4 linked regions of the Tamandua tetradactyla genome follow. The protein of the gene in region 1 interacts with the protein of each later gene in a pairwise test. Links are inferred from orthologs where the notes say so. Each region holds a gene or a part of one and is shown on either strand. Other genes may lie near its edges. The genes, in order: NCK2, TRIP6, PAK1 and RASSF7.

Evidence for each region.
Region 2: the proteins of NCK2 (region 1) and TRIP6 interact in binary tests that used the Homo sapiens proteins (3 or more experiments, as listed by UniProt). The two-hybrid records come from large-scale screens. The link is inferred for Tamandua tetradactyla from reciprocal best matches to the Homo sapiens genes NCK2 and TRIP6.
Region 3: the proteins of NCK2 (region 1) and PAK1 interact in binary tests that used the Homo sapiens proteins (3 or more experiments, as listed by UniProt). The link is inferred for Tamandua tetradactyla from reciprocal best matches to the Homo sapiens genes NCK2 and PAK1.
Region 4: the proteins of NCK2 (region 1) and RASSF7 interact in binary tests that used the Homo sapiens proteins (3 or more experiments, as listed by UniProt). The two-hybrid records come from large-scale screens. The link is inferred for Tamandua tetradactyla from reciprocal best matches to the Homo sapiens genes NCK2 and RASSF7.

The regions. Positions count from the first base shown.
Region 1 is NC_135343.1:70,554,237-70,562,102, forward strand, and holds the start of NCK2 (cytoplasmic protein NCK2), read left to right. Parts: upstream 1-4,866; 5' UTR 4,867-4,965; intron 4,966-6,777; exon of another isoform or gene 6,778-6,828; intron 6,829-7,208; exon of another isoform or gene 7,209-7,279; intron 7,280-7,825; exon of another isoform or gene 7,826-7,866. UniProt on the Homo sapiens protein: Adapter protein which associates with tyrosine-phosphorylated growth factor receptors or their cellular substrates. Maintains low levels of EIF2S1 phosphorylation by promoting its dephosphorylation by PP1.
Region 2 is NC_135349.1:8,876,920-8,884,536, reverse strand, and holds the start of TRIP6 (thyroid receptor-interacting protein 6), read right to left. Parts: upstream 3,001-7,617; 5' UTR 2,791-3,000; coding exon 2,682-2,790; intron 2,451-2,681; coding exon 2,323-2,450; intron 2,206-2,322; coding exon 2,080-2,205; intron 1,818-2,079; coding exon 1,440-1,817; intron 1,138-1,439; coding exon 1,044-1,137; intron 938-1,043; coding exon 768-937; intron 308-767; coding exon 129-307; intron 1-128. Other genes in the region: SLC12A9 (solute carrier family 12 member 9), read right to left, coding at 3,661-4,562, 6,370-6,516, 6,712-6,886, 7,033-7,225, 7,378-7,502. UniProt on the Homo sapiens protein: Relays signals from the cell surface to the nucleus to weaken adherens junction and promote actin cytoskeleton reorganization and cell invasiveness. Involved in lysophosphatidic acid-induced cell adhesion and migration.
Region 3 is NC_135334.1:67,315,626-67,323,400, reverse strand, and holds the start of PAK1 (serine/threonine-protein kinase PAK 1), read right to left. Parts: upstream 3,007-7,775; 5' UTR 2,775-3,006; intron 1-2,774. UniProt on the Homo sapiens protein: Protein kinase involved in intracellular signaling pathways downstream of integrins and receptor-type kinases that plays an important role in cytoskeleton dynamics, in cell adhesion, migration, proliferation, apoptosis, mitosis, and in vesicle-mediated transport processes.
Region 4 is NC_135335.1:432,951-440,303, reverse strand, and holds RASSF7 (ras association domain-containing protein 7), read right to left. Parts: upstream 3,003-7,353; 5' UTR 2,923-3,002; intron 2,210-2,922; 5' UTR 2,202-2,209; coding exon 2,078-2,201; intron 1,903-2,077; coding exon 1,217-1,902; intron 1,113-1,216; coding exon 984-1,112; intron 901-983; coding exon 819-900; intron 739-818; coding exon 707-738; 3' UTR 274-706; downstream 1-273. Other genes in the region: LMNTD2 (lamin tail domain-containing protein 2), read left to right, coding at 4,251-4,543, 4,637-4,789, 5,149-5,242, 5,359-5,514, 5,822-5,893, 5,991-6,073, 6,368-6,636, 6,918-7,270. UniProt on the Homo sapiens protein: Negatively regulates stress-induced JNK activation and apoptosis by promoting MAP2K7 phosphorylation and inhibiting its ability to activate JNK.

The sequences.
Region 1 (7,866 bases):
ATTACAATGTTAATAATAACTTACAATAGCACATCATTAAAAATATTTGCATTTTTAAAAGCCATTTGTTTCAGTTTGCTAAAGATGCAGGATGCAATATACAAAAAATGGATTGGCTACTACAAAGGGGATTCATGAAGCGACAAGTTACAATTCTGAGGTAATGAAAATGTCCAAATTAAGGCATCGACAAAAGCATACCTTCACACAGAAAAGGTTAATCTCGTCTGGGGTTCCTCTGCCACATCGGAAGGCACAGGACGGTGTCTGTTGGCCCTATGCTCCTGTGTTGCTTTCAGCTCTTGGTTCCAGTGGCCTCCTCTCTGAGCTTTTCTTTGTCTCCAAACATCTCTGAACATCTGTCCCCTGGTTTCTTCTTTCTCCTCTCTGTGTCTGAACTTTCTGCAAAATGTTCCCCTCCGAAAGGACTCCAGTAAGTTAATAAGACCCACCTTGAATGGGTGGACTCACATTTCCATGGAAACAACCTAATCAAGAGATCTCATCCAAACAGTGGTCCTGCCCCCATGAGACTGGATTAGGATGAAAAGAACACGGCGTTCCTGGGGTGCATAACAGTTTCAAACCAGCACACCAACATTCTTAAATCAATTTGTATCCTGCACCATTCCTTCAGGAAACCATTATTAACTTGCCAACTTTGAGAAGTGAGCAAGGAGATCTGCGGGAATCCAAAGAAGTCACCCTTGCCCTTGGTCAGTGTGTCCCCTTTCTACACCCTATGGACACAGATGACCCCAAATCAAGGCATTTTTGGATGAGTGCCTTAGCAGAGCGGTGACAAATGCACACATCTTCTAGGAAGGAGTTTACTGGTGACAAATGCACACATCTTCTAGGAAGGAGTTTACTGAAAGATGAAGGGAGGGTGCTGTTTGAATATCAGCAGGTATCAAATTGCACAGGATTATTCTGCAAACACAGATTTCCAGTTTAAAAGTCTCCATCAGACTCCCAGAAGAAGAGGGCTGTCCCCACCAGGGTACCTCAAACAGCACCGTGAAGGTGTGCCAGCCAACCTCTCTAAAACATACTTTCCTTCTAACGTATTTGTTCTTTAATGAAGAATGTGATTAATAAAAGCAACAAACTATTCACCAATACCCCAGTTGAGAACTGCTTTATATTTTAGAAGTCTTCCCTTTTAAATATGCATATAAAACATTAAAGCATTAAATAACTAGACTTTAATAACTGGAAACCTTATTAACTGAAATCTCTCTACTCAGCACTCCACTATTGGAAGAAAGTAGCAGATGCGGGAAAACAACTGTATTAGGTTTTTAAAAAGTCATTCTAGCACGTGGCTCCAATTTAGTTTAGTTTCCACGCAATCTTCAATGTGCTTAATCCTGTAAAATGAGATTGCATGTTCAGAATGATGGCCCTTAGGCCTTATAAGGCATCCAAACATCAAAATAAAATAAAATAAAAAAAGACATTTCATTTACTGTACTGTGCTTTCTATGGTGAGATATCAGCTTGTGGTATTTTAGGAAAAAATTTCAACTTGTTTTTGAGCTAAAGGGCCTTTCTGGTTAAACCTTAACAGAAATGAAAATTTAATTTAAGGGAACAGCTCCTTCCTGAGGCATTTGGATTAATTGAGGGTTTATTGTATCTAACAAATATTTCAGATGTGATATTCGCCTAAAGGTAGATTTCAAAATGGAAATTCGAGTAAAATCCTCTTAGCTTTTCTGAAGTTGTAGGAGCACTCTCAAAATTAGTCCACTCTAAAATTACTTTTGCCCTGCTGCTAATTAAAATAATTTAAAGTTTGATTTTTTATTTTTCAGTACAAGCAGTCCTCAAGTTTAAAAGTTACGTTGTGCGTGTCTATCAACAATCTGTGTTTCTTGACAAAATGCACAGAGAGATCAGTTAGTATTTCAGTACACTTTTATTCCTATAATTCTTTTGCCCATAATTGCACTTGACTTTATAGTGTATTATTTTATCTTTTTCATTTATTTAAACAATAAGATGAGCACACCCATTTCCTGAAGTACAGATCATAATTCCAGACCTGGAAAGAGTAGATTTATATACAGACTGGCCCTTTGTGGTAGCTGTTGTTTTGAGATGGATGAACTTTTAATGTGTAATTATGGGCTTTTTGGATTTCATTCTTCCAGAAACTGAGAGATGGGTTCCATGGGTTTCTAGCTTGCCTCCTCTTTGGTCTGAAGAGACGGTGAGAAGGTGCTTTGTATTTTGGGTAAGAAATCTTCATTTTATCTGAAGACTCAATGTTTCCGCCCCTTCTCTCTAAGCTAATGTAAATAAAATGAAATACTGAAACCTGCCAGTCCACCAGTATTCGTTCTGAAATTGTTTTATGGGTTCATGAAGTCTTGTAGGTCTCTTCACTATTGTTTGAAGTTCTGTCCCCTTTGGTGAGCTCGTAAAAAAATGTGGACTTTCCATTCATCATCAAAGTTTATTAAGTCTCTGCTAGGCACTCTGTAGAGGAAAAGGTGCTGGGGTTCTGAATGGAAAACTCTGACTTGTTCCCTGCCTGCAGGGTGTTTATCTCAACACTAAGATAGATGATGCAATTAAAGAACACTAAGGCTCATTACTCCAGTGGGAAATTATAACACTAATGGTTTCTTTTCTAGTAAAAAGTCACTTGAGGGCAGGGACTGTGCCTTGCTCACTTGCATACCTCCAGAAGAAACTCTGCTTGTAGTCAGTTGGCTATAAATATTCATTAAATATAACTGTACAAAAACAAAACCATTAATCCCTCACCAACCCGTTTCCCCAACTTTTCTATTGCTGATTTTGGCCCTGTTATACATATGCACTACCTATATCCAAAGCCTAATGTTAGGTTTGATGCCTTTTTCCTCTGTCCTCTCTGCCTGGCCATCTGTCAATCTCTTTTGAGCTTTTCATCCCAGGCTCTTGTAAACCATTTTCTCTTCTGTTCATCCTACCCTAGTCTGGGTTCCTACCTCTCTGAGAAATGCAAACTTCTGTTTGTCCTGCATCTGGGCATTCCTCCTTCAACCTCTTTGGTGTACCCACCACATGAGTTTTCCTGAAACAAAGCTGAGGTGATGCCCACACCCACACTTTATCTCCTGGGACTTCACCTCATGAGCATCCTCTCCTCCATGTAAGGAAACTGGGCCATTGTCTGATCCCATCAAACCCTCCAACATTCTCCTTTCTGTCCTCATGGGTCTCTACCCCCTTTCTTAGGAATTTCCTCCTTATCTGTCTCCATCTTTCAAAATTGTACAGGTTGCTTAGTCAGAGGTTTTGATTGCAAGCAAGAGAAAGTGCTTCTGGCTACCCTAAGCAGAATGAAAATTTACTGGAATCATATCAAAGAGCTGCTAGGGCAGCTGGGGCTGCAAGGAAGCAGGCTGGGAACTAAGCAGGCTGGCTACCCTCGAAGGAAGTGCTGGGACTTCGAGGCCAGAGCAAATCGAGTTTCACCCTTCTCCCTCTTTGTCACACTCAAGTTTCAGAGGCCTGAGTGGGAGGGTTCAAAGGAGCCCTGCCTTCCTCTCATTCAGATGGGGGTCTCCCTAAAACAAGGAAGGGACTCAGATGTAGGGTAGCTGGTTATGGCAGTCTGCTACTGTGTTGTCTTTCAAGGTCCATTTCTAATGTCACCACCTTTTGAAAGCCTCTCCTGATTCTCTCATTTTGTTCAATACTTTTCAAATTTAGCTTTACGTTGTAGTTGTTTGTATATTGTGCCTTATCCTTCCTCTGAGATTAAAAGCTCAATTTATCTGTTTCTCCCGAATTGCCTCTTTTAACGCCTTACAAATAGAAATGTACTAGGAAGGTTTAATTGAATTGAGGGTCAAGACAGAAGGGCACAGAAAGGCAGATATGAGGGGTTGCCAGGTGTCGAAGCACACAGAAGAGGTATTTTTCCTATTAGCTCACGTAATCCACACAATTCTTGTAGTCGTACTACTATTATGTGAGGCTCAGAATGCTTAAATGACTTGTCCAAGTCACAGGGCTGTAAGCAGGCCTTGGACCTGGGAGGAGAATTCAGAAGTTTTATCTAGTCCAAGGAGGGCTTAGAGGAGGCGGGTCCAGAACTTCCGGGAACACCTTAAATAGGTGAGGAGTGAGGCAGGGAGCTCCTGGCTACTCTGCACTCTAGAAGGTAGAAATTGGTGTGACTAAATGGGGGACAGCGGAGAGCCCAGGGGGACTGAACCAAATCGCTTATATTGGGGCTGAACCAAGAAACTAGATTGTTCCAGCAGGACTAGGTCATAGAGGCCTGTGAAAGATAAATAGCAGGACTTGATGCTGATGTGTTTTGGGGGAAAAGGCTTATTACACTTTCGGCCCTTTCAATATTTTGTTAGTGAGGATATTTTAATAGAAAAACAAACCTGGATGTACTGATGGAGGTCAATGCAGAAATGGGTAGATATTTTTGGATACAACTCAGGCTTCAAAGAAATGTCTCAGCCACCTTGGGCCTTGTAATGGGTTGCATGGAAACCCCCCAAAAGATGGGTCTACCTAGAACCTGAGAATGTGGCACCAGGTTTTGGAGTCCAGTATGTGCAGGTTCTGATTCCAGTTCTGTGGCTTGCTGTTTCATTTTTCTTGTCTGTAAAATGGGGAAGACAATTTTGTGTTTGAATTAAAGACGACAAATGTAAAATATTCAATACATGAACATTTTGCTTATCAATAATTCCAAAATTAGGACGGTAGCATTGAAAGTAGAAAGGTGTGGCCAAAGTGATGCTTAAGAATCAACATGACTCAGAGTCATGGGAGTGGAGATGGCAAGGGATCTTCACGTGATCTCGGCAATCCCCTCACTTTCTGCAGGTAGAGCAGAACTAGAGGAAGGACAGGTTTCTACCCTGGGGGCCGAGAGAAGGTGGTGGAAGAAAGGATTGGTGTGGCAAGGAGGCCAAGTTCATCCTGGATGATCTCGAGGAGGTGAGTTGCTGGCCACAGGGAGGGTCTCATGAGCAGGTGAAACCAGAGACGGGCGTAAAGGCGAGGTCAGGGCTAAGGGTCTCTCTAGGGCTACAGATCTGGGAGCTAGTCCTGGCAAATCCAGACCAGAAGCATTCACAAAATGATTAGCTCTCTGGAAAAAAGGCACCTGACAGAATAAGAACATAAAGCCAAAATCTGTGTCGGGAATATGGCCACCGTCAGAAGCTGGGAAGACAAAACACCCAACAAGGATACAGAGGAATGTAAGAGAATGGGAATCAGACGTGTTAGATGAATGAAAAGATGGCTGAGTTTCATGAAATAGCAGAAAGGCCACCTGCTTGGAAAACAACCTTGGATAAAGACCTACAGGCTGCTGGGTTTGTAGATAATGTCCCGGGTGCCTTGAGCCAGAGTCTGGGGAGGAAAAGGAGGCTTTGGATGATGTTCAAAGATACATGATTCAGTGAAAGTTTACCAAGCTAACAAGCTAAAAACTGGGTCAACACTGTTAAACCTATTTCAAGTAAACTAATTTAAAACTGGGGCAGACCACTGAGTAGATTTCTGCTTTCCATTTTGTAAAGCAAGTTGTTAGTAAAGCAAAGTTTTCAGGAAAGGATGGACTGAGGGGCTACCTTCCAAGGTTATGAAAACAGAATGTTTCCCTTCTCTCATCTCCCAATCGACGTGGTCCACCCTGCTACCAGACGTTGCTAATGAGGTGTGCCCCAACATCGCAAAGGATGCAGGTAAACATATCTCCTCACTTCAGGAAGAAACTGAGGCTTAGAAAAATTAAGAGACATTCAGTTGTCTGACTTCAAAGTATACAGACTCTAGTTATCCATCCTTGGGGACTTTCTTGCCAGGACAAGACAGGGGATGAGGGAGTCAAATAATACTGCCTGGTCTCCTGGAATAAATTATTGCTGCCTTGATAGTCATGGAGAAGCCAGGAGCCTCAGGGTCACTCTCTAACATGGCTGCAGGCTATCCCGCTAGGATATCAGAATCATTTGAATATTAGGGTTTCCCTTTGGGAATCCATATGGGAAGGAGGTGGGAGAACAGGCATCTGGTGCATGTGTCATCCTTTCCCTTTCCTTGTGGGATTTCATCTTCCACGTTTGTTTAGAGAGGTGAGGCCCAACTCGCAGCTGGGCTGGGGAACCGGTCCCCCCACGCGTGAAAACTCCTCCCGGCGCCCACGTTCACGCAGCAACTCCCCGGATTCTGCTACCCGCTCGAGCAGGCGAAGGTGCAGGGGTGGCCGCGGAGGGTGGGTTTCCTCTCCTGCCCTCAGGAAGTGCCCCCAGCAGGGACGCGGGAGCAAAAAGAAAAAAACAAAAAACAAAAACCAAAAAAAAAAAAAAAAAAACTTGTCTGGTTGGGAAAGTAAATAGATGTAAGGCAAAGATATAAAAATACCCAAGAGCAATTACAAGGAGGAAGTGACATTTTAAAGTCACTTTCCTGATGGACAACAGGCCTGCCTTCCTGCGAGTGCCGTGGGAATGTTTTCGGGAAGGGGACGGGGGCCAAACGGCGAGAGCGTCACGATAAAATCAAACAGAGCAGGGACGGGCGCGACCCCCCTCCGGGCCCTCGGCGCTGGCAGCCACTGCCCTTATTTTCACTCCCCAGTTCCCACCCGCCTCGCCCCCCGGGCGAGCCCTCTCCCGCGGCAGGGACGCGTCCCCCCTCCGCACCGGCGGCCAGCTGTCGCCGAGCACCCGCGCGGGCCGCCCAGGCTGACAGTTCCCTCCCCGCCCCCCCCGATCCCCGGCCGCGCACCTCGCGCAGCGCCGCCCGCCGGGCCCGGGAGCCCCAGCCTGGGGCGAGGCCCGGCGCCCCCAGGTGGGTCTCGGCCGCCTCCGCCCCGCGCGCCCGGGGCCTGCGGCGGCGTCACGGCGCGGCCGGGGGAGGAGCGGCGGGAGGCGGCGGCGAGGGGCGGGCCGGGGAGGAGGAAGCGGAGCGGGGGAGGGGGCTGGGCGCCGGGGGAGGGGCCGCCGCCGCCGGGGTGGTGGCGCCGGGAGCCGCGGCGGCCAGCGGGGCGGCGGAGCGGCCGGAGAGAGGGGCGGCCGGGCCTGGGCGCGGCGGGGCCGAGGCGGCGGCGGCGGCGAAGGCTGAGCGGCGGCCCCGGGCCCCGGGCGCGGTCGGCCCCGCCGCGGGAGCGGGCGAGCGGCCGCGGGCGGCGGGAGGAGGGGAGCGGCGCAGACAAAGAGCGGCGCCGCCCGGGCCGGGGAGCGCGGCCGCCGCCGGGACCCCCGCGCGCCGGCGTCTCCCTCACGCTCGGCCCCCGCCGGAGGTAAGCGCGCCTGGGACGGGCCCGGGGCGCGGGGGGCGCGGGGGGCGCCGCGGCCGCCGCAAACTTGTGGCTATTCGGCGGAGTTGGGAGCGCGGCGGGGGCTGGCGGGGCGGGGCCGCGCTGGGGCTGGGGCTCGGGGGGACCGGGCGCCTGGCTGCTGCCCACCGGGTCCCCCTCGGCTCGGCCGCGGGCGGGCTGGGCTGGGCTCGGCACTTTCCAACTCCGCACCCTCCTGCCCGCCTTCCCCGGCCCGGCCCCCTGCCCCGACCCCCTGGGGGACCGGGGCCGCCCCGCGGAGGGTCTGGGCGGGGGCGCGGCCGGCCGAGGCGTCGGGGACGGGGCTAAGTGCCCCGGGCAGCGGGTCCCGGGGAGCCGGGCAAGCCCCGGGTGAGCAGAGGGTGCCGGCTCCTGAGCCGGCCGCGGGGACGGAGCCCGGGCTTCGGCGTGGGAGCGAGTCCTCCTCCCCGCGGGTCAGCCCGGGAGCCAGGATGGGGGGGGTGGTCGCGGCTGCCGGGCGGCGCGTGTCCTCCGCGCGAGTTAATAGCCCAGATCTCGGGGCCCGGCGCCGAGGCCGTGCGAGGCCGCGC
Region 2 (7,617 bases), on another chromosome or scaffold:
AGGGAAAAGAGTGAGGCCAAAGAACAGGGCCAGGGATTAGAAACAGGACTGGTGCTGGGCAAACAGCAGAGGTGAGGGAGATGGGAAGAGCCGGGCATCCTGAGAGAAAGGGCAGGGCAGGGCCTGACCTATGGAAGTCTTCAATACAGTGGATCTGGCTGGTGGCATCCACAGTGAAGGGGATGCCATCAAGGCCACGGTGGCACACCACACAGGTGAAACAACCAGGGTGGTAGGCCTTCCCCATGGCCCGCAGGATCCGGTCCAGGATAGGCTGGGAACACGTGGAGCACTTCTCCAGGGTGGCCTGTGGGGAAGAGAGCAGGATGGTCAGGGGGCCCCGTGGCAGCTCTCCAGTCATTCTGTCAGCCCACCATCTATTTATCTAGCCCACTGCCAGTGATTCAGTGAACAATCATTGCAAAGGACCTGAGTTCAAGTCTCAGCACTGCAGGTTACTGGACAAGTCATTTCATGTCTCTGAGCTATATAAATGGGAAGCAATAGGAATACCTGCCTGGCAGGGGCATGGTGGGAATTTAAGGCAGCTCCTTAATTCATCTGCCTTGCTCTTGAAAGGAATGTTGTCCTTCCCCACCAGCAGCCCAGATCTTTAGCTATTACCTAACTCTTCCTTTCTTCTCCTGTCTCAGTCTCAATTCTCCCAGCTTTGAACCTGTTCCTTTTTTAGGCTTGGACAGCTAGTTCTTGCATTAGAGAGAAGCCCCCTGCCTCCTGCTGCCAATGCCAGCCTCCCAGCCACTCACCACGTAGCAGCTCTCACAATATGCCCTCCTCTCCACAGCATAGAAATGCTGGCCCCGGAGCTGGGCCCGACATGTGGAACAGACAAAGCAGCCCACGTGGAAGACTCGGTCGAGGGCCACCACCCCGGCCCCATCCCCGACCACATCTTCTCCACAGCCCCCACACCGGCCTAGGGTCAGAGAAGAAACAGGTCAGCCTGCACAGACCCAGGAAGACAGGCCCACCGTCCCTCTGACTCTCTAGTACCCCCTGCCCCTTCCCACCACCCTGCTCACCAAAGTACTCCCCGCTGGGTGGGTGGTTCATGTCGTGCACCAACTTCTTGGTCAGCCTCTCCAGCTCCTCCTCCGGAGGCTGGCTCAGGGGGACCTGGGAGGCAAGAATCGGGGTTTCAGTCCTACCTCTGGCAACTACTCCTGACAGTGACAGGTCAACCCAGAAAACCCATCTGAGAACAGTTCAGCCCTAGGTACAGGAGTGCTTCACAGAGCCAATGGCAGCCCTCTCCCTCCTGTTTCCCAGGCTGCCCACATCCCTCAGGGATCCAGAGCTCTGAGGCCCGGGCCCTCAGACTCTGATTTAAAACCAGGACACTAAACTCCACCCTGTACCCCGTACCATCAGCATCTAGTTGTCCATGAGGACGCAAAATCCCAGTGCCTCAGGCTTACCTGGGCCCCATATCCGCCTCCTCTTCCTCCTCCGACTGAACCAGAAACCCCAGCAGCCTCCTCTTTACCCCCTGGCTCCCGGTGGCTTCGATAGCCAGCCCCCCAGACTTCCCCTCGGCCTAGGAGAGGAATGTGGGGGCCAGGGAGAGGCCCAGCGGCCTGAGAGGCCCCCCGCCTCGGTGGCCCACAGCCCCTCACTGGCTGAGCCACCTTCACTTGCACAGGGAAGGCCGGGCCAGCTGGGGTGCTGGCAGTGGCGTAGGAGGCCGGAGTGGGACCCCCATAGGAGGATGCTGGGAGCTGCAGGGCTGGAACACCCCCTCTGTTCGGCTTCAGGGAACTGGAGCGGTAGGCAGGGGGCTGAGGGGACTCATAAGCCTGGGGGGAAACACAGACCACAATGACCAAGGCCCATTCCAGACCATGTGTTCATGGAACCATGTGTTTCCACGTGTTTGAGGCGGCCCTGCCCTTGAGTCACAGACAATTAGTAAGAGCTCCCGTTCCCACGCTTTTCAATATGGGTGTGTATGGGGTAGGAAGGGGAAGGGGACTGGATTTGGATTGAGAACCGAGGGAAAGGGACAGGTTGGGGAGGATGGGCAGGCTGGGGGCAGGAGGGGGCCGGACAGGGGTTCACCTGTTGGTCTGGTCGCCGTAAGACATGACCACGACCCCCATCCAGTTCAGCCAGCATGCAGGTCAGAGAATCTATCTCAGCGTCCAGACTTCCTGGGCGTAAGCCCCCCCTATCTGGGGGGAGTCCCTGGGGATGGAATAAAAGCAGAGAGAATGCAAATCACATCTCCTCTCCCATCTTGGGTCCGGCTCACACTCAGCTCCGAGGGCCCCACGCACCCTGCCCCCCAATCCCAGTTCTCACCTGTGAGCGCTGGGGCGCTCCATAGGACCCCACCCAGGCTGGCCCCGGATCCTCCGGTACCGCGGGGGCCTGGTAACACTGCTCAGATGGGAGGGGGCAAAAATTGACCCTGGGGTGGGGCTGGAGGGCTGGGATGAGGGGAAGAGAGACCAAAGGTGGGGATGAGGGAGGGGAGGAGGAGTACACCTGGGGTCCGAGTTGGCAGGGAGGGCTGCAGGGCGGGGAGAGAGGGGGACCCTGGCCGCCAGCCCCAGCCCGGCCTGGGGGAGGGGGCGGCAGGAAGCAGGCGCCGGCGGGAGGGAGGGCGCTGGGCCGCGGTGGTCCCGTCCCGCCGCACGCGCGGCGCAGGGCTGCCCTACCTGCTCCGGGGGCTGGCGGTGGCCCCGGGGAGCCTCGGGAGGACGCTCTCCCCTGAGGGGCTCGGACAGACTCCGGCTGCTTCGGGGGGAGCCAGGTGGGCCCCGACATGGCCTGGGATGGGGGAGGAGGCTCCAGCGAGTGGTCCCCTGACCGCGGAGGGTCCTCCAGCCGTGGCCTGCTCTGTCGTTCCACGCTTCGTTCGGGACTCCAGGAAAGAAACTTTTCTGGCTTTTTTTTTTTCCCTTCCTCCCCAATTTGGGGGACGGCCACGCCTCCGATGACGTCACCGCATTCCTGGGGGAGGGTCACGTGGCCCCCTAGGCCCCAAACTGCCGTCCCTCCCCGACTTGGCCCCCTTTTGCCGAGTGGGAAGGGCTCCACCCGCGTCCGCCCGGGACGGGATGGGGCCCGCGCCAGCCCCCAGCCCCCACGAACTCCCCACCCCAAACTAGCCTCCACGGCCCTCACCGCCCCTGGCTCCCACCCCCGACTCCGCACGTGGACCTCTGCAGGGACCGCTCGGCTCTCTGTCCCACTCCCCCCCGCCCCCGCAGATGTCCCCGTTCCCCGCCCCCTCCCCGACCCCACCAGGCAATGCTCAGCCAGCCGAGTTTTTGGGTCTTTTATTCACGTTCAGCAGAGTTAGAAAAATAAAACAGAACAAAAACATCACAACCTCAGGAGTCAGTGAGTCTGTCAGCCACGAAGGAGTAAACTGAGGTAGCCTAGAGTCACAAGAGGAGAACCAGCCCCTCCTGTCAAGGCACCGGTCCGAGGAGAGGACAGCGGCCCGTCCGTCCCCGGGCTCAGGGGGGTGGGCAGCGGTGCACGAGGGGGAGGGGGGCTTCCCGGTCCTGGTTCTGGCCGCCCGGAGCGTCTCCATCCGGCTCCAGGGCAGCGGGAGGAGGCGCCTGCCCTCGTCCCCCTTCCCCACTCGCCGAGGCGGCCGCCCCCTCGAGGAAAGGGCTGCCTGGGCCATCAGAGATCCGTGCAAGTGACGGGGGTGACGCCGTGGACCAGCAGCGTGGGGCCCAGGTCCCGGCTCAGCACCTCCAGCAGCGCCAGGTAGCGCGGGTAGCGGGCGGGGTCGGCTGGTGGCCGAGGCAGGTACAGGAAGGTGAGGGCGGTGGCGGGCCCCGCGTCCCAGTCCCCGCCCTCGGGCCCCCCGGGCCCCCCGGCTCCGCCGCGCCCCTGCTGGGCCCGAACCAGGGAGTTAGCGCTGCCCGCCAGGGCCTCGGCCTCCGCGTCCCCCCGCCCGCCGTTCACGAAGTCCCCCTCCTCCCCCTCGTCGGCCGCCTCCGGCTGCCCCGCCCCGGCGCCCTCGCCCCACACCACCTCCTGCACCTCGGCCCGGATCCTCAGCTGGCTCAGCAGCGCCCGGAGCCGCCCCTCGGCCGCCCCGGGGGCCTCCCGGGGCCCCAGGCACAGGAAGATCCGGAGCCGGGCGCTGTGCCACGCAGGCACCATGCCCAAGATGGTCGCCATCTGCAGCAGGAAGAGGCCGCAGACGTCCACGTAGCCGGGTCCACCCCGGGGCCGCAGCAGGTTGAGGGGCCACACGTCCACGTGGTGCGGCTGCGGGGGGCCGCCCGGGCGCCGGCCGAGCCGCTCCGGGGGCAGCGCCCCACAGGCCCGGGCCAGCACCACGTTCTTGTTCATCTTCAGGGCGTCCGCCACGGTGGCCACGTAGTCCTGGGGGCTGAGGGCCCGGGGGCTCCCCGGAGCCCGGGGCGGCGGGAACAGGGCGCTCAGGGCCGGGGCGCCACTCTCCCCGGCGGCGGCGTCGGCCGGCTCGGAGAAGGCCGGGTCGCTCAGGAAGTGGTCCTGCGGCGGCGCGTCGTCGTAGAAGCCCAGGACGAGCGTGTTGGGTTTCATGCCGCCTGCGGGCAGGGGGAGGCGGGGAGAAGGGCTCTGCATCAGCGGTGCGCGCTCACCGGATAGCACCTTCAAGCCAGTGGTTTGGCCTCTTAAGGCCTCATAATGCGCATCTGCATCTTGACTTCTAGTTCTTCCTCAGCATTTTCAGGCGCATTTGTTTGATCAACACTACTGATCGCTGCTTAAATAGACAAAGTCTGCCTTAGGATTCTTTTAACTAAGGAGCAGTCCTGGTCGGAAGCAAGGACCCGGCTGCCATTCACTCCAAGCTTTGAAGCAGCACATCTTTTTGCCAGCGGGAGATGAGAAGCAGACCCCACTGGGCAGAACAAACACCCCAATTGATTAGTCAAGCTCACAGCCTCAGTGGCCAGGAAACTCAGCTCCAGACCCTGCCTCAAGGGGAAGAGAACGTGGAGCTGTGCGGCCTGTTTCCCCTCTAGCACCGCCCCAAGGATAGTTCCCCACAATCCTGGGAGAAGACAGAGCTAACATCTCCATGCTTACCAGGGCCCAGGGCCTGCTGGAAGCCCTTCATATTTTAACTTTTTAATACTTGGAACAATCTCCGGGGTGGGGACTCCGTGCTCCCCCTTTTACAGACAACGAAAATGAGCACAGAGCCGTGAAATCACCAGCCCAAAGTCTCAAGGCCAGTAAGTGGCCGGGCCAGTGTGAGAACACAGGCTGCCAGGCACCACAGCCGAGTATTTGGCACCCCTAAGCTGATGTGTGCACAAACCACAGCGTCCCTGCTGAGGGCTTGAGTTTTAACTTTTGAACAGCAGTGGGGAATCAGGCAATTCTCCCCCTTAGAAAGGGCTGAATTTGCAAGAAAATTCTGAGACCTCTCCTAAGTCCCTTTCTTGGAAAGGAACTGGGTTGCTAAAAATTTACCACTAAGTCAAATTCTATGTGCCGGGAGAATTTCCTAATTAGAAGAGATCCCTTCCCTTTTACTTAAATCAAGATGCACTTTGTGAAAGCAGGGGTCTCTGCACAGGTATCCTCACAAAGGGCAGCTCTCAGGAGGTATGAACTAAAGCCGATCTTGCAAGTTCAACCAGACATACCCCCTCCTGAGCATTTTCTAGGGTTCTGACTGGTACCAAATAGGGCCATGTCCAACACTGATGAACCTGAGCCAGGTTCTAAATGGGGGAGGTGGGTTGCCCTCATAGGAGACAGACACCAGCCCAGGGATGAAGGGCAGAGAAGGCAGCTGAGCATGGATCTGGCAGGACGTGTGGTACAAGGCCAGAAGCCACAGCTCCAAGATACATTTGCAAAGCTGGGAACCTTCCCCCCATCCCAGAGCATCAACCCCACGTGCCCCCAGCGTGCTTTGTGGTCTCTGGACTGCACTGCACCATGCCTGCCTTCACCCCCTAAGGCCCGGCTCAGATGCCGTCCCTTCACACTCTTTACTGGCCACCTCCGTGCATGGTAGTCTTCCTTTTTCTCAACTCTGGTGGTGAGAAACCATCTGCGCTACTTCAGATGGGGCAGCTCCAGACTCAAATCATTCTTCCACTGTCCCCAGATAACCTACTTAATCAGAGCTTGTGCCCCGTTTTTTTTTTTTTTTTGGCTCAGGGGTTAAAAAAAAAAAAAAAAGCAGTATCACCCCATTTTTAGTCCTTTGCATCTCTGAGGAAACCTTATCATCCACTGTCTGAGGCTGTTATCTTTGAGCACTGCCTCTTAGCTGTACTAGATCATGATTTCCTTTTGGGGTTTGCAGTTTATGGTTTACTCTCTGGGGCGGGAGCTGAGATTTAAAGGGTGGGGCAGGGAGGAGAGGCTCACCAAGGCCTGAGATTCGCAGCAGATGCTGTGCCCCCTGGCGCACGGAGGGCGAGAGGGTGAGGTCCACAAAGGCTTTCACTTGGGCCCGGTCCACCAGACTCAGCCACGCCCCGTACTGCGGCTGCACGGGGTCCGAGGGCAGAGAGTCTGCAGGGAAAGGGAGGTGGCCAGTGTCGGACAAACTCATTTACTTTCTCGTAGAGACCAAACCCTTAATGGGCAGAGGGAAAAAGCCTGGGTGGCTGGTCAGCTGGGTCATGTGGGAAGAAGGACAAGGCGCTTGGGACACACAGAATGCCTGAGACCAAGCAGAAAGGAAGGGTGGGGATGTGGGCAGCTCACCCAGGTCCCCCAGGGTGACGTGGCCCAGCACGTAGAGGCCGCCCTTCTTAAGCTGGTTGGCCAACCGCAGCAGAGGTAGGGCCCCCCGGGGGTTCCCCACCAGGAGCAGCAGCTGGGGTCGCCAGAACTTCACGTGATCCTTCCGGACGTCCAGCCGGAGCAGGTACTTGCGAACCTGGGGACAGGGAGGAGGGGGTGGGAGGGAGGGCCGGAAGGGGCAGTCCCCACGCTGTGCCACAGGAATGCGAACCCCAACCCCCGAGGGAGGAGGCTGGCTTTCACAGACTGCCTCCCTCCCACTCTCCTCCAGGCTCCTCCAACCTGGTGGAAGAGCAGGGCCTGGCTGACGTAGCCCCAGCTGCTGGGGCCTCCTCGGGCTGTGAGCAGGGCAGCAAGCAGACCCATGAGAAGCAGGGAGCCGCCGGCGGCCCCGGGACTGATGAGAAACATCATGAGCAGGCAGGAGGCCACCCCCAGCAGGCAGGTGTGCCAGGAGAACAGGCTGAAGGTGGGGCTGGGGGAGGACACGGAGAAGGAAGGAAATTCAGGGCCTGTCCTGAAGACCTTGGCCATGCCATGCGCAGCCCCAGCCCTGCCCTCCAGGGTCCAAGGCCCTCGGGTTCCTCCCTGCTTTCCTTTGGGCTCACAGGCGTGTTATTCTCTCACCGGAAGTTGGGGGCTGAGGCCCATTCCAGACTCAGGCAGGACAGGTCCACCGCAGCATAGGCCACCAAGTAGAAGATGGTGACGACGGCGGCCAGCGTGTTCAGCTTCCCAGCCAGGAGCACCAGCTGGGCAAGAACCGGGAGCCTGGGCGTTGACCCGACATGCCAACACGCCCCCACTCCCATCCCCAAAATGCCAATATGTCTGCCTTTTAATTCACACCCCATAGCCTGCACCCAA
Region 3 (7,775 bases), on another chromosome or scaffold:
TCACCCCCTGGGGCCCACTCGGGTCCACCTCACTCATGCTACTCATTCTCCTAACCCCCATTGAGGGCGCATCCTATGTATGGAAGTTCAAAATCAGGGAAACCTTTAGCCAAAATGATAGATTGACCACTCATATGATTGGCACAGGAGACTGCCCTCTAACAGGTTGTAGTCAGCCTATAACCATCCCCATAAATCCTAAATCAGTTGAAAAGGGCCTGAGGCCATATGCCTGCTTTCCATATGCCCAAACTGAAAGCTGTAACCAAAACAACTATGACAATATATATGGGGGATGCCCCCATTGGTCATGCAGAATACATGATGCTTATGTGGAGGCAGCTCATAAAGGTACCTTCTACATTAGCTCCCAGCAATTTTACATAAATATTGCAGATCCCTGGGACACAAGATGGGTAGCAGGAATCCAAGGCAAGCTATACTACAGTGGCTGGTCCCGATACCCTGTAAGCACCATTGAAATACACCACAAATATGTCCTCATTAATACTACTTTTACCCGGGTATCCACGGGCATTTTGCAGGCTGAGCAAAGCCTCTCCAGCCACCTTGCCCAAAGCTCTGCCTCCACAACCCCTCATACATGGCCCCAAATCCTCCAACAAACCTTGCAATTCCTCAACCAAATGCAAATACTCCCTAAGGTATCCTGCTGTTTCCTCTGTGCATCATTAAATAGGCCACTATTGGGAGCCGTCCCTATAAATCTCACTCAAATACACAATCATAGCCCTGATTCCTGCCATACCACTCTAAAAAATATCCCCCTATGGGAACCAGAGCCTGATAACCTTCCCTACCTCCTGAAAACCTGCTACCTCACACATATAACCATAGATCAAACAAAACATCATAGCAAGTGCCAGACTAACGTCACTATCCATAACACCACCCATGCCCCCAAAGGACAATATTTCTGGGGTAATGGAACTCTTACCAAGTGCCTTCACTCCACTGCCCCAGGGCCATGCTTCCTGGTAACTATTGTTCCTCAATTGACCCTCTATGGGGAGTCCGAACTAACCTGGCTACTGCCCTCTCCTCGCTCAAAAAGGGCTGCCTTTCTTCCTATCCTAGTAGGCATCAGCCTAACCGCTTCAGTCGCAGCCTCAACCACAGCGGGAGGGGCATTGGGACACAATATTTTAACCTCTCAAAACTTTGAAACTTGACTACAGGTAGCCCTGGAATCAACGTCAGAATCCCTCTCCTCTCTACAATGCCAACTCACCTCACTAGCCCAGGTAACTCTTCAAAATCGACGGGCCTTAGACCTGCTGACAGCCGAAAAAGGAGGAACGTGTATATTCCTACAAGAGGAATGCTGCTATTACATCAATGAGTCGGGTCTGGTGGAACAAAATATTCAAACCCTAAACAAACTAAGAGACGATCTCTATCACAGAAAACAAGGAACCAACTCTGCCTTTAGCTGATTTTCTTCTCCTCTGGTGACATGGCTCCTCCCACTACTAGGACCAGTTATCCTAATCTGTCTCTTTTTCCTCCTAGCTCCCTGCCTCCTCAACTTCCTTCAGGGATGCATGAAGGAACTATCCTGGGTAGCAATCAACCAAATGCTCCTGCATCATTATCATCACCTGCCTTCCTCACCAGATTCCTACAGCCAGCCTCCCCACTCCCCTGGCCATGACGGTTCCGGCCTATAACCCCACGCCACCCCATTACAGCAGGAAGTAGCCAGAAAGATCTCGGCGCCCTATTATCACAAAAAGGCTGGAATGTTAGGTCAGAGGAATGGGGAAAGGCACTGCAGCTGGAGCTGCAGAGGCTGTGTCACCCTTCCCAACCTGACTTCTGGAACTAATGAACTGCCCCTTCCGGACGTCATCTGACCCCCATCCTTAAAAGCTGCCCGCACTGAAGCCCATGTGCGGACTCACCTCTCTCCATCTTGGATGCGGTGAGCTCTGCCTGGGAGCGCAGAAATAAACTCGCTCACTTTAAATTTCCTGGTCTACTTTTCTTCTTTTTCACCCTTTTGCCTCCTAAACCTTTCAGAGGGCATCCCAAGAAAAGAGAAAACCCATATAAAGGCAGGAAGGCAGGAAAGAATAGGCCCTTTCGGAGAACTGCACGTGGTTTTACATGGCTGGAGAGTAAGGTTTAGAGGGCAGAGTGGCTGTGCTGGAGGAGGCAGCAGGGCTGAGAGCCTGGTCTGCCCTGCTGAAAGAGTTAGGATGTCCCGACAGGTTTTAAGCAAGAAGTGACAGAGCCTGATTATGTTTTATATTTCTTCCTTGGTACATTCTTATTTTTTAAAAATCATACAAGTAATATGGATTCATTATAAAATAATCAAAATTTAGATGAAGAAAATAGCAATTGCTTATAAACTTAGCATCATAAGTAAGTTTGTATGCTGTGTATCCTTCTAACCAGTTTTCTCTGAATTTCCTCATCCCCTTCCCCTCATCTATTTTACAGGGGCATCCAACCTTCTAGAATCTCCATGACCTTTGAGATAGAAAAAATCCTATTCAAACCACTCTCCCAAGCATGACAGGAAACCCAGATCCCTACCACTATCTCTGTGGATTCTCTTTTTTTTTGGGGGGGGGGGGGTGTTTTAGTTTATAAGTGCTGCTAGAGTGCAATACACCAGAAATGGCACAGCTTCTAATAAGGGGAATTTACTAAATTGCAAGTTTACAGTTCTATGGATTTTGAAAATGTCCAAATTAAGTCAAGGCTATAATAATGTCCAAACTAAGGCATCCAGGGAAATATACCTTTGTCGAGAAGGCTGATAAGGTTTGGGTTTTCTCTCAGCAGGAAAGGCATATGGCAACATCTGCTAGCTTTATCTCCTGGCTTCTTGTTTCATAAGCACCCCTGGTGGGGGGTGGGGTGGGGCATTTTCCTTTGGCATCTCCAGAGGTCTCTGGCTGTTGGGTCTTAGATGTTGGTCCTGGTGGCTTTTGTTGGTTCTAAAGCTTTTTCCAAAATGGTTCCCTCTTAAAGGGCTCCAGTAAGCAACCCTACCTAGAATGGGTGGAGACACATCTCCATGGAAACCATCTAAGAAAAAGTTACTGCTCACAATTGGGTGGGTCACACCTCCATGGAAACAATAAAAAAGATCCCACCCAGTACTATTGAGTGAGAATTAAAGGACATGGCTTTTCTGGGGTACATAATAGCTTCAAACTGCACAGGGGCAATGGGGTAATGTTTCTTTTGATCCCCTTTAGCTTTGAGTTTCCACCTTGATCTCCACCCTGAATTTCACTTCGTGGGGCACCTCAACCCTTTTTTCTATACCATACAACCCTGTTAGATATTTCCTCAACCTTTTCTCTCCCCCATATATTTCCTAAACAAGGCTATGTGTTTATCTTTAGAAAGGTTTTGGGGCAAGAGAGGATGGCTTATATTGTAGCACAGCCCAAAGAACAGCTTGAAACTAAGGAATAGACATCAGTTCTTTTAAGAGTCTATCAGTCATTCCCATCATTGGAAAATTCTCATTGACTGTCCCTCCACGGTGACACCAGCTGCCCAGGTTCTCTTGCTCCCTTCCTCCCTCTCTTTTTCATTCTCCAAAATCAGACTTCTCTAGCTATAAACCCCAAAGCTTCCATCCCCAATTCTCACTCTCTTTTGTACAAAGTAATTCAGCATTCCCCTCGTTTACTCCAACCCACAAAGAGATTCTAAGTTATTCTACTAAATCAAAAGTTTCTCCCCATATTAGTTTCCTAGAGCTGCTGTAACAAATAACCACAAACTGGGTGGCTTAAAACAACAGAAATTTATTCTCTCATGTCATATTGTCATATAAATGTTTTTTATCCTACTGGCTGCATTTACTTTACAGCTTTGGTATTTTAAATATCCTTCCTTAAATATGTTTGTTCCTAAATAATATTCTGCTACATCTTTTGAAATGGCTACATACTTTATTTTTGGACACTTAAGTTGTTTCCAATTTTTTATTGTTACAAACAGTGCCACAAGAGGTGTGTATGTGTTTATTTCCACGGTATACATTTTCTAGTAGTGGAGTCGGTTTTCGTACCCTCTAGAAGGGCTGCATCAGTTTATACATCCAGAAAGGCTTTTAAGTGTCTCAATCTCCAAACACTTTCTAATAGTGCACATATTTGTCCTTATTTTTTTGTGCCTTTAATTTGCATTTCTTTGACCAATAGTGAAGTTCAACTTTTTTCATATGTATTGAGCACTTGGGTTTTTTTCTTATGTAAAATGCCTTTTCTTGTCAATTGTGCATTTTTCATTTTAGATATTTGTGTTTTTCTTACTGATTTGAAAAAGGTCTTTGAAAGCTATGGATATGGACCTTTGGTTCAGGATGCTTCCCTAGAATGTCATTTGTCTTTCAATGTGTGGTAATTTTTGCTACAAAAAGTTTTACTTTTTTATGTAACCAACTCTAGCATCCTTTATGCCTTCATCCTTTAATTTCATGTTTATGAAGTCCTTCTTTATTCCAAGGTTTTATAAATGTTCAGCTATGTTTTCTTCTACTCATATCAAAAATTTTCATTTACTTACATTAAAATTTTTAATCTTTTCCTGCAATTTATCTTAGGGTTACATTTCAATATTTTTCCATGTGAGTACCCCATTATTGCAGCACCATTTGTTGAATTTTTTGTTTGTTTGTTTTCAATTGTTTATTTGCTTGTTTGTTTTTGTTTGGGGGAAAGGCATGGACGGGGACTCAAACCCAGGTCTCCCGCATGGCAGGCAAGAATTCTACCACTGAATTACCCTGGCACCCCCTTTAACTTTGTTTTGATGGTAGGTAATGGCCCAACATTCTACCCACTGCGATGAATCACAAGCTTCCTTATATACTAAATTCTAACAAATACTTGGATATTTTTCTGAATTCTCTGTTTTTGAGCTAGCACCATAATGTTTTTGTTTCAGGTGTATAAACAATTCATTAATAGGCAAGGCCTATAGACTCATCTCTCCTTGGACACACCCACGGCACAACCACGGTGACCAGTGTTCTCCGTTGCTGGCCTTGGGCATGAAGGCCCCAGAAGTGGCACAGCCCTCCGCGGACTCGAATCTTCTTCAGTCGCTCTAGATCTTCACGGAGCTTGTTGGCCAGACTGTTGGCCAGGACCTGGCTGTGTTTTCCACCTTTGATGTCCTTCTGTCAGCCTAGGATCTCGTGCAGAAGCGGATTCTGCATAAAGGTGATCACACTTTCCACCTCATCCTCGGTGAGCTCTCCTGCCCTCTTGGTGAGGTCGATGCCTGCCTCCCTCAGCACCGCAGGAGCTTACCTTCGCCCCACACCCTTACTTAACGGCAGTGCTGGCAAGGGCTGTCTTTCCGCGCTGCAGATGTGGGTGCTGAGCACACGCAAAATGTGCTGGAATTTCTCCAGGATCTCTAGAGACGGGGCTGCGTGTAGCGGGAGTGTAGCCTCCTGTGAAAGCCATAATGTTTTAATTATTGTATCCTGCAGGTTTTCTCTTTTTTTTTTTTTTTTTTTTTTTTTTTTGGTGCATGGTCCGGGAGTTGAACCCAGGTCTCCCTCATGGGAGGTGAGCAGTCTACCACTGAACTACCACTGAACCACCCGCACCCCTGTGGGTTCATTTTAATATCTGGTAGAGAAAGGAATTTTTAGTTCTGTTCTTTCTATTAATGCACATGATTTTTCTCATTTGTTTATTTTTCTAAATAAACTTTAAAATAGCATCTTTTGCATTCTGAAAGAAAAAAACCCCAGACGTTTTATTGGAATTTTATATTTATAGACTTGGTTTGAGGAAAGTTAATACCCTTACAACATTAAATCTTCCAATACATTCATGTAATACATTTCTACCCTTATTCAAATCTCCCTTTAGAGTTTTGTAGAATCACATGTTTATCATTAAATTTATAGCTGGGTGTTTTGATTATTTTCATTGTTGTGATAATGTCTTTCTTCCATTATATTTCTTTACTGATTATTGTTGGTATATAAGAAAATTAATTTTTAAATATCTCTGTTACAATTGCCAAACTTTCTTAACTCTATTATTAATGCTAATAGTTTTCCAAGCAACCATATCATCTCCAAATAATAATTTTGTTTCCCTATTAAATATTTACACCTTGTTTCTTTCTCTCATTATTGCATTGATTAATACTTCCAGAATAACGTTAAGTAACTATAATGCCAGTCAAATTACTAGTCTTAATGGGAATGTTTCTAATGTTTTACTGCTAAGTATAATATAAGCCAGTGGTTTGGTTTGAGATCAGTATTCATTATCATGCTAACTAAGGTGTTTTTCTTTAAAAATAAAACGTGTATGTTGATTTTTATCAAAATGTTTTAAGCATTTTGTTCAGATGATCATATGCTTTTTCTCCTTTGATACATCGATGACATAAATTATATATAAATAGATTTTTTATAAAACATTGAACATTCTTATTTTCTTAGATTAAACCCCCATTTGGTCATGGTGAGTTGTGTTTTAAAATATATAACTGCGGGTTCGGTTTGGAAAATTGATTGAGGAAAGGCAAGGTCAAATGCAGAAAGAACATTTAGGAGGCAATTGCAGTTCTGAAATGAAACAATGGCAGTGCAAATAGAGAAAAGGTCTAGCTCTATGAGATATTTAAGAGGAAATATCTATGAGAGGTAGTGGCTCACTATATTTGAGAGACAAAGAAAAAAAAAGAAATTCAAGAGAGGTCCCAGGTTCTTGGTTAGGAGACATTTACCAAGACAGGGATATAGGAAGAAAAGAAGTTCTAGTGAGTGTTGGAGTTAAGAATAGAGGATGAGCTCAATTTAGGGTTTGATGTCCTGAGTTGGTTATACATGTGGGTCTGGAGCAGAGAGATTTGAGCTGCAGATATTGATTCGGTAACTATCAGTGCTTGGAGACAGACAGCTAAGCGTGGAGAGTGATACTATAAAATGAAGGCTGAAAATGGAACCACAGAGAATATCCAATTCTAAGACATGGGAGAAGGAAGAAAACCCTGAGAAGACAGAGCCAATGAGGTAGGAAGAAAACCTATTCTGTTCACCAGGAAAACAAGAGGATGATAGAATTTCAGGGAGGAAGTGGTCAATAATCTCAAATGGAACAGAGTTGTTCAGTCAGACAAGAACTAGATAATACTTTCAGGATTTGTCAAGACCCCATTGATGACCTTTGCAAAATCAATTTCAGTGAAGGTGAAAAGTGAGGGGGAAATCTGATTATGCTGTGTATCGAGCATAACCTTGCGTTTCTTTTCAGATTGCCTTGAATGCTCCTTTCTATCCAAAGTCACGCTCACCCATAGGACTGCTGCTGCCTCTGCCAAGTACCTTCAGTTGGTTGGAGTCGAAACTGAAGCCCCAGGCCTGTGCGTGTGCGCACACACACACACACACACACACACACACACACACACACGTCTGCGCTGAATTGTCCCTCTGCTATCAGACGGATTAAATGCTGTAACACAGGGTGTGAAATCTTGCTTCCTGAACTGCCATTGAGAGGCCAGATGATGCACAATAGACGTTACACAGAAGTACAGGGGAGTTATCTTCCTATGGACCTTGACAAATGGGAAATGGGCGACAGAAGAGGACCAGGCAGGTGCATTCCCCTAATTTCTCCTTTCCACAGACTGTTCTATGGTGTGATTCCTCCTTATAGCCATGCAGGGGAACTCCCATTTGACTTATCTGCTAAGTCACCTGCTGTTTTTCATCTTGGCTCACTGGAAGCATTGCCCAGCATGGT
Region 4 (7,353 bases), on another chromosome or scaffold:
CTGGGGTGCAGGCTGCTGGAGAAGAGGGGAGCCCAGCAGCTGAGGGGCCAGACAGCAGCAGGACAGAGGCCAGGACCATGCTGCTGTCTTGGTGCCTCAGGCCCGCCCGCCACTTCCCACTGTCCAGCTCAGAGGTGGAGAGGCCAAGGCCCAGGCTGCAGGCGCCAGCGCCCTGAATGTGGGGGTCCCAGTCTTGTGCCCTACCGGGCCACAAGAGCTCCAGCCCCAGCCAGCCCCAGAACGCTAGGGTGCTCTCCAGGAACACTGGGGGCATCACACTCCAAATCCCAACCTCAGCCCTTTGCAGGCTGCTGTGGGCAATTTATTGGGGTTTTGGCTTCAGCGGTGAGGTAGCACTCCTGTGCTCTTGTCACGTATACATGCCACTTGCAGACGCAACGAAGGCCACCTCCCGGCCGCAAGCCGGCACCCCCAGGCTACACCCTCCTCTGTGCCTCCCCTGTCCCCAGCAAAAAATTGTGACTCTCAGTGTCCACCTTCTTGGGGGTACTTGGCAGACCTGGCCCAGGGCCAGCCGCCAGCCCCACAGAGCAGAGACTCCAAGGCCTGTGGCATTCTCCATTCCAGTCCCAGACCCGAGGGCCACGTGGGGGACAGTGCTGTGGCCACTGGATCGCCTTCTGTCACCTAAGCAGGGCCGGTCTTGGCGAGGCTAGCACGGGCATCCACCGTGGGGCAGGAGCTGCTACGTCCAGGAGTTCTGCCTCACAGGAGTAACTGGACAAAGGACACAGGGTGAGGGGCTGAGAGAGTCACAGGAGTACCCCTCTTGTCTGGACAGGAAAAGACAGACATACCCTCAGGGTTCAGGCGGGACCCTGGGATGGGGCTCCGAGAGACTCCTGGGAGGGGCTCTTCTCCAGCTGGAGGCAGGAGGTCCTGTGGGGGGCAGGGGAGGCAGTTCTGCTGGGCTGGGCACCAACCCCCACCCTGTGCCCAGCCTCCCTGGGGTCTCCTCTCACCTGGGATCTAGGGGGGCCCCTGTCCGGCCGGGGGCATGGGGACAAGGCAGCCCCCGCCTGCTGGATGAACTGCTGCAGGTTGCACTGGCGGAGCTCCCGGTTCAGTTCCTCCAGCTCCTGAGCCTGGGCCTGGGGGCACGTGGAGCCCTCAGGGGGCTGCCTCCCACAAGCGCTCTCCCCACCTGACCCTAAGCACCCCACGCCCGGGAGGGGCTGGGGTCCCACGGGCTCACCTGCAGGGCACACTCCGCAGCCTCCAGGGCACGGCTCACCAGGGCCAGGCTGCCCTGCACCTCTGCACTCTGCCTCTCCTGTGCGGCCAGGTCGTGGCGCAGGCGCTCGGCAGCGGATGCTACAGGGGAGGGCGGCCCAGGGGCCTCTGTGGCCAGGCGCATTTCGGCCTCCAGGGCGCGAGCCTGGGCGTCCAGGGCCCGCAGCCGGGCAGCGTGCTCAGCAGTGGCCGCGCTCAGCGCCCGCAGCCGTGCCTGACCCTCACGCTCCCGGGTCTGCTCCCGCCGCAGCTCCTGCTCCCAGAAGGCCTCCTGGCCCAGCTCAGCCGCTGCCCTCTGCACGGCTCTCTCCAGGCCTTGCAGGTCTGTGCAGCAGGCTGTCGTGGGGGCCACGGAGGCCGCAGGCTCAGAAGTTGCGCAACAAAAGGTCACTGCTTTGTGGTGCTCGCAGCCTGGTGTTGGCCGTGGCTTTGGGGGGAGGCTGGCACGAATTGGGCAGCGCTCAGGGGGTGGGCAGCTGTCCGAGGAGGGCCGCCCGGCCAGGCTGGGCCCTGTCCGCCTCAGGACAAACTGGACATCGCTGGCAAACTGGCCACAAGTGGCCTGGGCACCCACTGGACACTCCTGGGGCAGCAGCTGCCGCTCTTTCTCCCTCAGACGCTGCACAAGCACAAAGCGGCCAGTCTGGCCTGGTGGGGGAAGCACAGTCAGTCCGTGCCCCCCCACTTCTGTCCTGTATGCCTATGGTGGCGAGTCAGAGGGAGCAACCCATCACCCCGACTTCTGTTCACTTGGCTTGACAGGTGAGGGTGGGCAAGACCGATGAGGTGGGCCACCTGGTCCCTGCACCTGACACCGACTCACCTATGGCCTGGGCCAGTGCGATGACCACTTCCTGGCAGGTGGTCTGCTCCGAGACCCCGCAGACCACGCGCTGGACGCCGTCCACCCACACCTTGAGCTCCATGGCGGCCAGCCCCAACGGCATGCCTGGGCCTGGGGTAGAGGGGCAGGTCGGCTGCTCTCCCCTGCCCCTGGGCCCCCAGCTGGTCTCAGGGCTTCCAGCCTCTCCTTTCGCCCCGCCCTCCCGTGCCCAGCCGCACCCCAGGCCGCACATTCCTGGGGTGGGGGGAGTTAAGACTAGACCCCCAGGAAAGGAACTCAGCCAACCCTTCCTGACAGGCACTTTGGGCTCTCCAGACCTCAGCAGCCGCCCCTTGTCCCCCCCACTCCAGGAACAAGGCAAATTATTAACCAGATGCAGGATTTCCTGCCCCTCCCGCACCTGGCGCAGAGGCACTGCCCGCTCCTGGGGGCGGTACCCAGCGCCACAGTCCCCAAGCACCCAGGGCGCCAGGACGCAAGCACAACGCTTTCACGGCCATGGAAACGTACCCCCAACCTGGAAGGGCCCTTCTCAGGCCCCGGGACCACTCGGGAATCACGACCCTGACCTTGACCCTCCGGCCAGCGCCCGAAGCCCCTCTGCCCGATCGGCGCCCGTCCCCAGCCCAGCCCCGCACCTGGGCGGGCCCCCGCGGCCTCGCCGCTGCGGAGGGGCAGGTGCTCCCGCCGCCCCCACGGGCGTCCCGATCCCCTCCTCCCCCGCCCCGGCGCCCGCGGTCAACTTTCCTCGGTCGCAGGCGGCCACCCCGCCGGCCCGGGCCCGCGCGGGGACTCAGGAGGTTCAGCAGCCCAGCTCTGCTCACCTGGGCGCGCGGACCCCGGACCCGCCTCGCCCCGGCCTTCCTGGAGCCCCCAGCGCCGCCGCAACCTGCCGCCCCCGGCGCCGCGGGCGGCCCCGACCCCATTGGCCCGCCGCCCGCGCGCCCCGCCCACCGCGCCCCCATTGGCTCCTCTCGCGGACCGCCCGCCCCCGCCGCGCGCCCAGTGGCCACCGCCCCTCCGCCCGGCCCCGCCCATTGGCCCGCCGCCCGCGCCCCGCCCCGCGGAGCTCAGGTGTGGGTGGGGCTGGGCCGAGGGGCGGGCCGGCCCAGTGCACGCGCGCTTAAAGCCCCCGAGCCACACGGAAGCGCGGGCGGCGCAGGTGTCGGTCCCCGCGGGCCGCCGATTCCACGCAGCGCCCAACCTGACTGCGTCCCGGCGCTGGGGAGGGACGCCTGGGCCCAGGCCCCGGGTTCTGAGTCCCGTCCCCTCGCCCTGCCCCGGGCCCAGCTGCCACTCGATCCCCGAGTCGGGGACGCAGTGCGGGGCTCCAGGTCGTGGTGGCCGCCCTATGGGCGGCCAGGGGCCCGCGGCGCGTGGCCGTCTGCGCACCCGTAGCCAGGCGTCAGGGAGCAGGAGTTGAAGTCCTGATAATGAAGGAGGCGGGATGGAGGTCAGGTCTAAGGTCCCACGTCTGTGCTGTGGGCGGCCGGCGCAGTGGCCTTGGGGACCCTGGCTGCGGGGAGGTGATGGGCAGAGGGAGGTGGCAGGCCTGCGTGTTAGATGGGTGGGAGACAGAGACCGCGGGAGGGGCCAGGAGGAGGCTCAGCACGCTGCTCCCCTAGGTTCCCCCTCTGGGCAGAGCTGTGCCAGGAGGCAGGGGCCACACCCACACATGCTCACACACACAGGCCAGCAACCTGCCCCATGCCACAGCGCCCAAGGCAGGGCTGGGGAGCCTCTGCCAGGGTTGGGGTGTCAGAGGATCAGTGGGTGGCCGTGGCAGGCCCTGCTGGTCACTCCATGGTCCCCTGAGCCTCCAGCCGCCCCCCCCCCCCCCCCGAGCTAATTCAGTGTCCAGGCTTAGGGTCTCTCAGGAGGCTCCTGGTAACAAACAGCCCCTCCCTCTTAGGGTGCCGGTGTCCATGGCAATGACATAGAGCCCCTCCCTGCCCCGCCTGCTTGGCTCAGACCTCAGGACCTGGGTCTGGGGCATAGAGGGGACCCCCTTGTTCTAGGCTGAAAGTCAGGACCTCAGGTACCGGACGGCAAGGGTCACTGGGAACACACAAGCCAGCAGGTGACATGCTGTTTGGGGACATGACCTGCTGCCCTGGCCTGGTGGGACACACACAGGCCTCTTCACAGAGAGATGCCCCGTGAACCGTGGGAGGGTGGCACTGCAGGGGGCTTGGAGGGCCCGGCAGGGATACCCACCCATTGGTCATGGGGCAGCTTTGGCCCCACCACCCCAACAACATCCAGAATGGTCAAGCCCTACCAGGACACTGCAGGGACCAAGGAAGAGGCTCACTCCTCCCAGGTGGACTGCGAGCAGGTCAGTGGCGACCTGGGTCCTCCAGCTGGAGCAGATCTCGGGGTTCCCACAGTCCCACAGGACACCAAGCCCCAGGCCACGCCGGCCCTCATCTTCGCCAACCAGCAGTAAGGAGAGGGGGGTGGGAGGGGGGTCAGTGCCCCGGCCGGGCCAGACACAGGCCAGGGCCTGGTCAAGCGGCAGGGGCACTGGCATTACAGGTTGGCCCCTGAGTTCCTGGACCCCCGCACCCTGAGGCTGCTGTGGGGGCAGCGAGAGCTGGAGCTCCAGGCCCTGCGGTGGGCAGTGCAGGGCAACCGAGATGGTCGGCACAGCTACATTCTGCAGGAGGTGGCCGGGCGCCCACCCGAGAGGTCAGCAGCAAAGGACCCGGCACCACCCCTCCTCCGGCCCAAACCAGGACCCCGTCCTCACTCTAACTCAGCCCCAACCGCTGACCTCAAGCTTGGACTCCAACCCTAATCCCAGCCCTGGCCCTAAATCTGACCTTGGCCCCTAGGCCTACTGCCTGCCTGACCTTGACCCCTACCCTAACCCTGAGCGAGTCAACAGGGGTGAACACAGCGCGGCACTAGGTAGAGTCCGGCCAAAATCTGGACCCCTGCCCAGACTTGACCTGTCAGAGCCAGGTACCTAGGAGCAAAGGAGCCCCTTCTTTCTCCCCTCCTCTGACCCAGAGGTGGGGGCTGCTGAGCCCATGCCCTCCTCCCAGGAGCTCCCACGGTTGGGATCGGGAAAAGCTCCTGCAGAACCAAGTCCACAAGCTGACTCTGGAGCTGAAGGAGGAGAAGGAACGAGCCCAGTTGGTGAGGGGTCAGGGGCCGGCATAGGGGAGCCAGGCTGGGGTGAGGTCAGGACCGGGCAAGGTTTGGGCTGCCAGGGCCTGAGAGGGGGGAACCACAGGTGCTCCCTCCCCGAGCAGGAGAAGGAGCGCTGGGAGAAGAGGCTCCTGCAGGCCACCAACACGCTGCAGCAGTTGGAGGCTGAGCTGCAGACCTTCCAGAAGTCCTGCCTCCTGCAGCTGGCCCACTCCTCCTGGGTCGGCCGTGTGCTGCGGTCTCAGACCGGCAGCGTGGAGGTGAGCACGCCTCCCCACCTGCTCCACTCAGCTTCGCCCGCCCTCCTGCCTGCCGCGTCCCCTTCCCCAGCCTCCTTGGATGACATGTTCCCCGCTGACCTCTGCCGCTGCAGGGGTACACGGGCCTGCCTGGGGGGCCGAACTCTCAGGCTCTCTGGGACTAAAGCTTCCAGGAGGGAGGGAGCGTTTTCCTGCAGTCCAACCCACATGACCTCGGCACATCACACCCTTGGGTGCTGCTGAGGTCGAGGGGGAGGGGAGGCCCTTTCCCCAGCCCCAACTGGCTGCTCCCCACCTCCTCTTGCAGGTGGTGACAGCAGACACATTGGTGATTCCCAGTGACTCTTCTGAGAATGAGCTGCTGCCCACCGCGCAGGAGGTGAGTGAGGCCCCCCGCGTGGGCTCAGGGCTTGGAGCCCTCCAGGGTCGGAGGACGGGTGGGCGGGGGTGGCCGAGTGCCTACTGCTTCCCGTCAGGCCTTCCGGCTGGAGGACGTAGACTGGAACAGCATTGCCCAGCGATACCCCAACCTGCTCACCAGGGTCGATTCGGAGCACAAGTAACTGCGCAGCCCCCACCCCACCCCAGGGGCCAGAGAAGGGGGGCTGGCCTTGCCACCTGTGGACCAGAACCCGAGCCTGGCCCTCTTTGTGCCCCTGAACCTCAGTTCTCTATCTGTGAAGGGGGTTAGGGGGTGCCCCTGGGGTGAAGGTAAAAGACAGGTCCCAGCTGGCATGCCCTCTCCTGGGGTGAGCACCCCAGTTACAGGGACCACACACCAGGATGGGTGCTGCGGCCTGGGCTGGGCATCAGGGAGCTGGCTGCACCTGGTGAGCAGTGCGTGGCCCCACAGGCAGTCAGGGCAGGGCAGCTGGAACTCGGAGGCGCCCCGCAAGCGTGCGGGGAGGCAACAGAAGAGCGTGGAGTGGAGCTCCCTGCCAGGGGCGCGCAGCAGCAGCTCTGCAGGCTCCAGCTCGGACGCTGGGGGCTGCCCGCTGGCCCAGCCCTCCCTCGTGCGTCAGGTGACAGGACACCCGCCCCAGGGGCCAGAAGGATCCTCCCAGGAGCAGGTCGATGCCCAGACCCAGACCTTCAGCGGAGACACCACTACCGGGCTGGAAGGTGGAGTAGGCAGCTCTCCCCGTACCCCCACCCCCAGGCCCGGCACAGCTGCCCCAGGAAGGCCTGAGACCTTTCTAGGGGTCAGCAGGTGGACCCAGGGGCCCTGGCCCAGGTGAGGAGGCCTCGCAGTCAGAACCAGCATTACCAGGCCCCAGGGCCTCACCCTCCCTCCTGGTCCCTAGCTCATTCCTTGTCCCCGCGGACCCCCAGGGGGCTTCAGGGCTGTCTGGCCCTCAGGGGGCATCCTCTGTGGGTGCTCCAAGGGGTCCCCTCCCGGACAGGCCTCCTCTACCAGGATCGCTGTAATCCCCTTGGGGCGCCCTGCAAGATCTCGGTGGTGCCCAGGCCATACGGACGCGACGAGAGGTGGGGTGCGACCCAGTGGCCAGGGCGCAGGCACAGCGGGTCTCTGGACACCTTGTGCCCCACGCCACCCCGCGCCAGCCCGGCCGGTTCCTACCTGAAGATCGTGGCCGTGAGCAGCCGCGAAAAGCTCGTGCGCGTCCTCAACCAGTCGCTGGAGGAGACGGCCGACCTGGGCGGCTCGGTGCTACAGCAGCTTGAGCGCGACTTCCCTGTGCGCCGGTACCGCTTCCCGCCCGGCACGCTGCTGCCGCCGCGGCACCACGTCACGGTGGGCGCCGGCCCTGCCTGGCCTCGCACCGGTCCCGGCGGTGTCGCCCGGGCCCCCCCACCCCCGCCCGACCCCGCCCCGCC